Drosophila melanogaster: one gene and its partner. The protein of the gene in region 1 interacts with the protein of each later gene in a pairwise test. Each region holds a gene or a part of one and is shown on either strand. Other genes may lie near its edges. The genes, in order: CG12171 and DNaseII.

Region 1 (3,796 bases):
CGAATGTCCAAGTATCTCATGAGTGTGTTCGAGAATAACGAAGCTATCGAGAGTTCCGAGGAAGAGAATGAATCTCTGGAAAATGTAGAGCTCGAGCAGATCTATCTGCAAGAGACCGATAGCACTATGCTATTTCCCAGGCCAATCTTTAAGACTCTGATGTTAACTGTGGTTACATCCAACGAGTCCATTTCTCCTGACCTCGCGTACAAAATTACCAATTTGGAAGATGAGCTGAAGGCTCACCTCAAGAAGATTTCTAGACGCGCTTTTGCACAACGAGGTGCAGGAGCTCTGAGGCGGAGAGCCAAGTACTTGATGGACCAGCAGCGTCAACTACAAAGTCGCCAACTGTCCGAGGTATGTCGCAATTCCGAGGAGCAGACTTTAAGGCTGTGGGATCGACTGACCAGCAGCAGTGACTCCTTGCGAGGGATCAGGGATCTCTTTCGCGATCATTGCGACCTGCGAGACCCATTGTTGTGCGCCGCACTCCAAAGCATCGAGCGTCTCTACAGGGAGTGGAAGGATCAGCGGTTTAGCGTGAATTGGAAACAAAATTGATTTAATTTTCCTTTTTTTTTAATGGCTTCATTTTTCGTTCCTTTTGAAATTCGATCTTACCAGCTATTTTAATTACATTAAGGGCTAGCCTAATTAAATTGTGTACATACATAGTTATTTGCGTGGGGTAGAGTGGAAAAGGTTTGGTTGATTGAACACAGCACTCCAAAATTCAAAAACTATTTTCCACCGACACATTTTGAAAATTCCAACCGCTAGAGAGAGAGCTTTTCGATAAGCTTTTCCGCCACAGCTGATGTGGAAAAGCTATCACTTGCCAGCTGGAACTGCGCTTCTTCTTAGATGTCTGTCTATCGTTTCCAGTGATCGAACTTCGCTTAGCGTAAAAGAAACACCCCACGATGTCATCCTTCAAGGACAAAGTGATTATTGTTACCGGCGCCAGCTCCGGCATCGGAGCAAGTGCCGCCGTCCATTTGGCGAAACTCGGAGGGCTCCTGGTCATCGTGGGTCGCAACGAGGAGAAGCTGAAGGAGACGGCCGACAACATTGTGGCGGCCGGAGGAGCAACGCCATTGGAACTGCAGGCGGACATGACCAAGGAGGCGGAGGTGCAGCAGATTGTGGGCGCCACTCTGGCCAAGCACGGTCGCATCGATGTGCTCGTTAACAATGCGGGCATCCTGGAGACAGGCTCCATCGAAGCCACCAGCCTGGAGCAATTCGATCGTCTGATGAACACCAATGTGCGTTCCCTGTACCAACTAACCATGCTGGCCACTCCAGAGCTAGTCAAGACCAAGGGCAATATCGTAAACGTATCCAGTGTCTGTGGACTGCGTGCCTTTCCTGGTGTCCTGGCCTACAATGTGTCTAAGGCAGCGGTGGACCAGTTCACGGCCTGCATAGCCCTGGAACTGGCCCCCAAAGGAGTCCGCGTAAACGCCGTGAATCCCGGCGTGATTGTGACTGACATTCACAAGCGTGGCGGCATGGACGAGGAGACCTATGCCAAGTTCCTCGAACACTGCAAGATAACCCACGCCTTGGGCCGTCCTGGCGATGTCAAGGAGGTGGCTGCCGCCATTGCCTTCCTGGCCAGCGATCAGGCCAGCTTCACCACGGGAATCAGTCTGCCCGTCGATGGAGGTCGTCACGCCATGTGCCCGCGATAGGATGCGGATGAGCAAATGGTGGCATTTATCGAATTTAGCGTCATTTTCAGTAGTTAATTTAAAGAACACGACTAAAATACAACACAATACATTAAAAGTGCGCAGTTAAGATTTCTTGGATTTTTCCTCTCATAATAAACTAATATATTGATAAAATATCTATAATCTATTATTATCTTCTTCTGGGATCCCAAATAGCTGATTATATTGTCAAAAACTCTCACAACCTCTCTGTCTAAAGAGGTGACCACTTAAAATTAAAAACTGATCATACATACATTCAACTATTTATTAATATACATACATACATACATATGTATATGCATAGTAGTTGGATAAAATAACAAATTAACAGTTAATTAAATTTAATTGAATTTCACAACCACTGGAAATGTGTAGCTTGGAAGGTTCCAGCCTATCGATAGCGTAATCGGATTGCAGCCCGGGAATTGTTGACTTCTGGGTCGGGTCTTCAATGTCACCAATCACTATCAGTTAAACCGTCGAGTGGATCACTTCAACATGCCCAGTTTCAAGGATAAAGTTATAATCGTGACCGGAGCCAGTTCGGGAATTGGAGCGGGTACTTCGGTGCTCTTGGCTAAACTGGGAGGCCTGCTCACCATCGTGGGCAGGAATTTGGATAAGCTCAACGAGACCGCGGAGCAGATAGTGGCAGCTGGAGGAGCGCCAGCACTCCAGGTGGCGGCGGACATAAACAGCGAGTCCGACGTCCAGGGCATCGTCTCCGCCACATTGGCCAAGCACGGTCGCATCGACGTGCTGGTGAACAACGCCGGAATCTTGGAGCTAGGCAGCATCGAGAACACCAGTCTGGAGCAGTTTGACCGCGTTATGAACACCAACGTCCGGTCGCTCTACCAGCTGACCCACCTGGTCACACCGGAGCTAATCAAGACCAAGGGCAACATTGTAAACGTGTCTAGTGTGAACGGCATCCGTTCCTTTCCCGGAGTCTTAGCATACAATGTTTCCAAGGCTGCCGTGGATCAGTTCACCAGGTGCGTGGCTCTGGAGCTAGCTCCCAAGGGTGTGCGTGTGAACTCCGTGAATCCCGGCGTAATCATCACCGAGCTGCAGCGTCGTGGTGGACTGGACCAGGAAGCCTACGTCAAGTTCCTCGAGCACGCCAAGGTCACCCATGCCCTGGGTCGACCCGGCGAAGTCAAGGAGGTGGCTGCGGCCATTGCATTCCTGGCCAGCGACGAGGCCAGCTTCAGCACCGGTATCAGCCTGCCCGTGGACGGCGGTCGCCATGCCATGTGCCCCAGATAAGAACGGAGTTTTTTATCCATGCATGCATTTATCTTATTTTTTTATTTTTAATTAAAGTAGCGCGCTTACCTCGTGTATTTCAAATACTTTTCAAGGATGTGATTCTATGTAAATGTAATAGTTTGCTAGAAATAAATAAAATGAAAACCGCCCTATAAAAATTGGCAACGTACGCAAGATTTAATTTGATACTTAAAATTTTCAAGTTCGTAGTAATGGACTTAATCGGCGGAAAACAAGGGAAAATTAAAGACATTCGTCTGGACAGGATCAGATGATCATATAGAATATCCTAGCAGAGACTAGCGCGGACACATGACCTGCTTGCCACCGTCCACAGGAAGGGTCACGCCGGTCACGAAGCTGGCCAGCTCGCTGGCCAGGAAGCAAATGGCGGCCGCCACCTCCTTTGGCTCCCCAATCCGGCCCAGGGCGTGGGTCTTCTTCGAGTGCTCCAGAAATTCGGCGTAGCTCTGCTCGTCCATGCCCCCCGCCTTTTGCAGATTGGTGCGAATCACACCCGGATTGACCGCATTCACCCGAACACCCTGGGGACCCAGATCCAGGGCAAGGGAGCGGGTAAACTGGTCCACCGCCGCCTTGGACATGTTGTAGGCCACCAGATTGGGAAAAGCGCGAAGTCCGCAGACGCTGGACACGTTGACAATGCTGCCCTTACACTGCAGCAACTGGGGCAGCAGCAACTTGGTCAGATAAAACCCAGAACGCACATTGGCCTCCATCACGTGGGTGAAGCAGGCCAGTTCCGTGCTCTGCAGCGTTCCCGTGGGCATGATGCC
Region 2 (4,574 bases), about 12 Mb from region 1:
GAGACAGGTGCGTAGGCAGCAGAACATTCCCAAATCTATGAAGGTTTTCCGACTCCGAATCTAGTTTTAATTTGGATTTTTAAAAATCGCCAATAATTTTCGCTTCTTCGCTTGGTTTTGTTTTTGTAAACAGCTGTGCTCTTTTTCCAGCTGATGGTCATACTGAATTTGCATTTTCTGGTATATGTGATAATAATGGGTAGAAGAGTGACGGATAGGTGGCGCTATAAATGAATAATTAGATGCAACCAAATGCAATTGACACATTTGTAAATAATTTATACATGTTTGTTGATATTTCAATGTTTTTTTTTTTTGGCAAATAGTTTAGCAACAGCTATAGAATTAAGAAAAGTTTAAGTACGAGCGCCACCTAGTTTTCAATGCGCTTTTTAGTACCTAAAATGTACGACAAGAGTGCGTTGAAGAAATGGCGCTAGCGAGTGTCCGGAAAAGAGCAGAAAGAAAAAGAAAAGAAGTTGCACGGCGCCTTAAATTTAAAATTTAAATTATTATATATTATCTATAACAAATGCAAATAAGTTCTTTGTATAAATAATACCTCTTTTCAACATCTTTCAATTTTCTTATGCATTAAATGTAATGCAAAAATGGTGTTTATTTAATTGTTGACGCAACTTTACAAATAGTCTTAGTTAGTTCAGATTCTATTCCTGTTGGGCGCACTTGTCGTAGTTGGTGACCAGTTGGCGGTACAGATTGGATACCCTGGCGCTCTTGTGGCACACGGTTCCACCACCACGATGCAACTGACCTTCTTGCCGGTTGATGTCGCCCACACAAATCCAATCTCCGCCGCCAACTCGCCAATGGTAGATCAAAATGCCTGTGGGACGAGATACCGCCCACTTGGAGTGATCTTGTGTGGTCTTAAAGTCCACCGATAGCTCCGGATTGGAAATGGATTCCACATTGAGAACCTTATCGGACTTATCGCAGCTATTCGGTAAGTTGCCGGCACCGTCGCGCCACGCCTCCACAAAAAGACTGACATCCAGAGTGGGTGCGACCACATCGGCGTACAGCTCCACATTGGCGCGTCCACTCTTGCCAAACAGCCGGAACTTCTTGCCGTCCAAGCTGCGCACCTCCAAGTCCTTCTGGAACGGTGATTCCGTCCGCCACTGACCATGCAGAGCCCTTTCCAGGCTCGGGAACAGCTCATCGGAGCGAGTGGCCAGCGGGTTGCGTTGATAGTAGAAGTGCGGTTCATTGTACACCAGAATCTGACCAACCTTCTCCAAATCCTCGCCCTTCAGTGTGACGCAGAGCATGCTCTGTGCGTACTGCTCGCCGGATGTGGGATAGCTGTAGTCCGGAATTGTTGGAAATTTGGGCACCGAGTGGACAATCCAAATAGCCGTCTCCCCATCACTGGCCACCACTCCTTTGGCATGACCACCGCTGCTGAAAACCGTGCCATTCGGCTGTTGATCGTTGTAGGCGGCCAGCAGAGTGTGGCTGGGATCGTCGTTCAAGGGGTTAAGGGTCTGGGCAGGCAGCGATAGGGGATCACTAATGAACTTTCCCGACATCTGCCAGGTGTCATAGTTCTGGCTGGTCACGTACAGGTACTTCAAGCCACTGGTGTCCTTGCCCAAATCGTTGTGCTGGTAGTGCTTGGGCAGTTTGTAAAGGTGCCACCTAAAATTATAAAGGAATATTTGAAAAAAAATTATTAAATAAATTAAAAACATGTTTATCTCATCGAGAAAACCCCTCAATCTTTGGAAATTTGTTTTTAAGATATTAAAAAAAAAAAATAATTACCATTTAATCTATTTTTGGAAATGGAAAAGTATTAAAAATGATGTTATTGTTATCAAATTGATTAAGTTTGTTTGTAGCAAACAACTTTGATTTAAATCTCTCATTTTAGGAAACAAAATAACACACTAATTACTTTTTAATTTCTTGTCACACAGTATTGTACAATTATTATCAATTTTTCCGCTTGAACTTGAACTCATCATATTCAATTTGTTTATCGCCTCTTTTAGAATAATCTCAATACAGCAGTGTATATAAATAACTAAAATACGTTGTGTTTGCAAATTGTTAATGATATGCAAACAGCGACTGCAGATAAATGAAAAAGTATGTGAAAGGCCAATATTTATAAGTAACTTTTCTAATAAGCACATTTAGTAATGTTTTAAGAACTAAACTATTTATTGTTTGATCTGTTAATCGAAATACTTACCAATCTACATCGTTTCCAGCTTCATCCTTACAGGAAACCTTAGACTTAGCTTCGTTTTGGTAGAAAAACCAAACGAACAGCAAAACGAAGCACAGAGATCGCATTGTACAACCTTCAAGTTGCTCGGCCGGAAAACAACTAAATAAGTGTCAGTGAATCCAATCCAATCAACGGCTGTGCTCATACAGGGTGTCTCAGTCGCAAATTGAAATCCATCTTAATCTTTTTCGATTTCTTCACCAGGTAAAAACGCTTGAATCGAGTGAAAACTGAGATCCTTGCTGTTTGTCTGTTTTATCTAAAAGTTGGATTTGTAAATATTTGGTCGTGTTTGGGTTTTTAACACAGCCTATCGCCACGTTGTCTGCTATCTGAGGGGTCAGCCACTTATTGCAAAAGATCAGTCGAACAGAGAGGTCGCTGATAAGCCAAGCGCACTAAATGCGGCTACAACGAATATATTATACTCTACTAAATATGTTTGACTTCATTTTTATGGATATTATAAGAAACTACTAAGAATCTTGTCCAATCTGTAACATATTATAAATACTTACCCATTTCACCATCATCACATAAACATCCCATTCATCCCACTGGCGGTGAAAAGAACTCCACTTCTTTACAATTACACAAAACAATTGTTAAAGTTTTTATTTATTATTCGTATTGTATTATTATAATTTGTCGCCTGCTGAAAACTGCAATTTGTTGCTCTTTTCCCCGTTTGCATTGCAGGGCATATCGTTTGTGCTTTCCTCCTCGATCGTGATCGCATGAAAATATTATCGTTATCAAATTGTATAATTTGTCTTGCGGGCGGGCGAGCCCATCTGCTAATATTGAATTATATTGGAAATAAACTGTCTGGTAAATTAATTGAATTCAACTTCGTTAGTTCTTATCGCTGGTGGCTGTCTGTGAAAAAATGGTTCACCTTTCATTCTGTTTCGAATTTCCTCTGATCTGCTTTGATCCGATCTGATATGATATTATCAGATGATATTATGTTTTTTTTTCTTTTTGTTTTGCCAATCGGTTGGTATTGCCATTTAGATTTATATTTAACTTAGGTGTACCGATTTGTTATGTCATTTCTTTGGTTTCGTATGCAACAATACATTTAAACTCACAATACAATATTTTCGCTAAATATTTTTTATGTATTTTTTTTTTTTGTATCAATTTTTTCATAGTTGTTAATAATTTATTAATATTTTGTATGGTTTTTCATTTTTTTGGTTTTTCAAATATATATATAAAGAACAAGGCTGATATTTATATTTATATATATATATATACGAGTTTTGTTTCTGTTTTATGTAAGTTTTATAATAATATTTAGCTATACGTTTTGGTTTTCATTTGCTTGAAAAATCAATTTGTTTTTTACAATATTAGCAAAGATCTTTATTCGATTTGAAAAAAGAAGGTCGTACTTGGTTTCGCGAAAATGTTAAATAAATGAGCCTCAAAATAGACAAATACTTGCCATTTCTTGTATTTTTTTTTTTTTACTTTTAATATCTCAATTAATATTAATCATTATTTTCGTATTATTTACGGATAAAAGTAGACTCAACTGTTGAGTTATGCAAATAAAATTGCATTTCCCGTTAGACTTTCGGCATATTTAATAATTTTATCATTCTCCTTCTTTGTTATTTTTGAAATTTGCTGCGCCTAATTTGCGCCTGCTTTTCATTAATATATATATATATATATATATATATATATAGTGTATATATATGTGTATATATAGTTTTAATCGGGCACGAGTTTGATATGTTTTGACTTGTGTTATCTTCATTTATCTGCCGGTATTTCGATACCTTTCTCTGCCTTGATATTTTCAATATTCAATATCAGTTACCTTTCCTACTTAACCCTCTAAAGATACTATACATATGTCTGTCTGTATAAGATATAGATATGCATAGTATTTAAGTATTACAAATATACAGCGATTTTCTCAGACCTACCAGGTTGAGTACAATGCCATTCTAGTTGACTCTCCCGCAAATGACTCAAAACTTGAAATGGGGAGAGCGATGCATATATGTGGTATTAATATATGTAATTGTATAGTTGGTTTTAATTTTCTTGCAAAAATTGTCACTAATTCAAAATTCGTTTCTTCAAAGGTTTATCGCTTGGTTGTGTGAGATTTGGAACTGAGTGAAACAATAATGGGTTTGTTTAACGAACAAAATATAAAGTTTTATTATGCGTAATTAATACCGTCAATTGAAAAGTTCTAAGTTAAGGCTACACAAATGATATAAGTATATTTATATAAGGGTTTATCATAGAGGTATACCATACATATACATATAAATTACTTAGAAAT

What was found.
Region 2: the proteins of CG12171 (region 1) and DNaseII interact in a two-hybrid assay, tested with the Drosophila melanogaster proteins (one large-scale study listed by BioGRID).

The regions. Positions count from the first base shown.
Region 1 is NT_033777.3:5,631,470-5,635,265, forward strand, and holds CG12171 (uncharacterized protein), read left to right. Parts: upstream 1-2,157; 5' UTR 2,158-2,222; coding exon 2,223-2,996; 3' UTR 2,997-3,171; downstream 3,172-3,796. Other genes in the region: CG31551 (uncharacterized protein), read left to right, coding at 1-564; CG31549 (uncharacterized protein), read left to right, coding at 927-1,700; CG31546 (uncharacterized protein), read right to left, coding at 3,299-3,796.
Region 2 is NT_033777.3:18,017,167-18,021,740, reverse strand, and holds DNaseII (deoxyribonuclease II), read right to left. Parts: upstream 2,367-4,574; 5' UTR 2,329-2,366; coding exon 2,225-2,328; intron 1,666-2,224; coding exon 669-1,665; 3' UTR 580-668; downstream 1-579. Other genes in the region: CG7785 (uncharacterized protein), read right to left, coding at 1-27.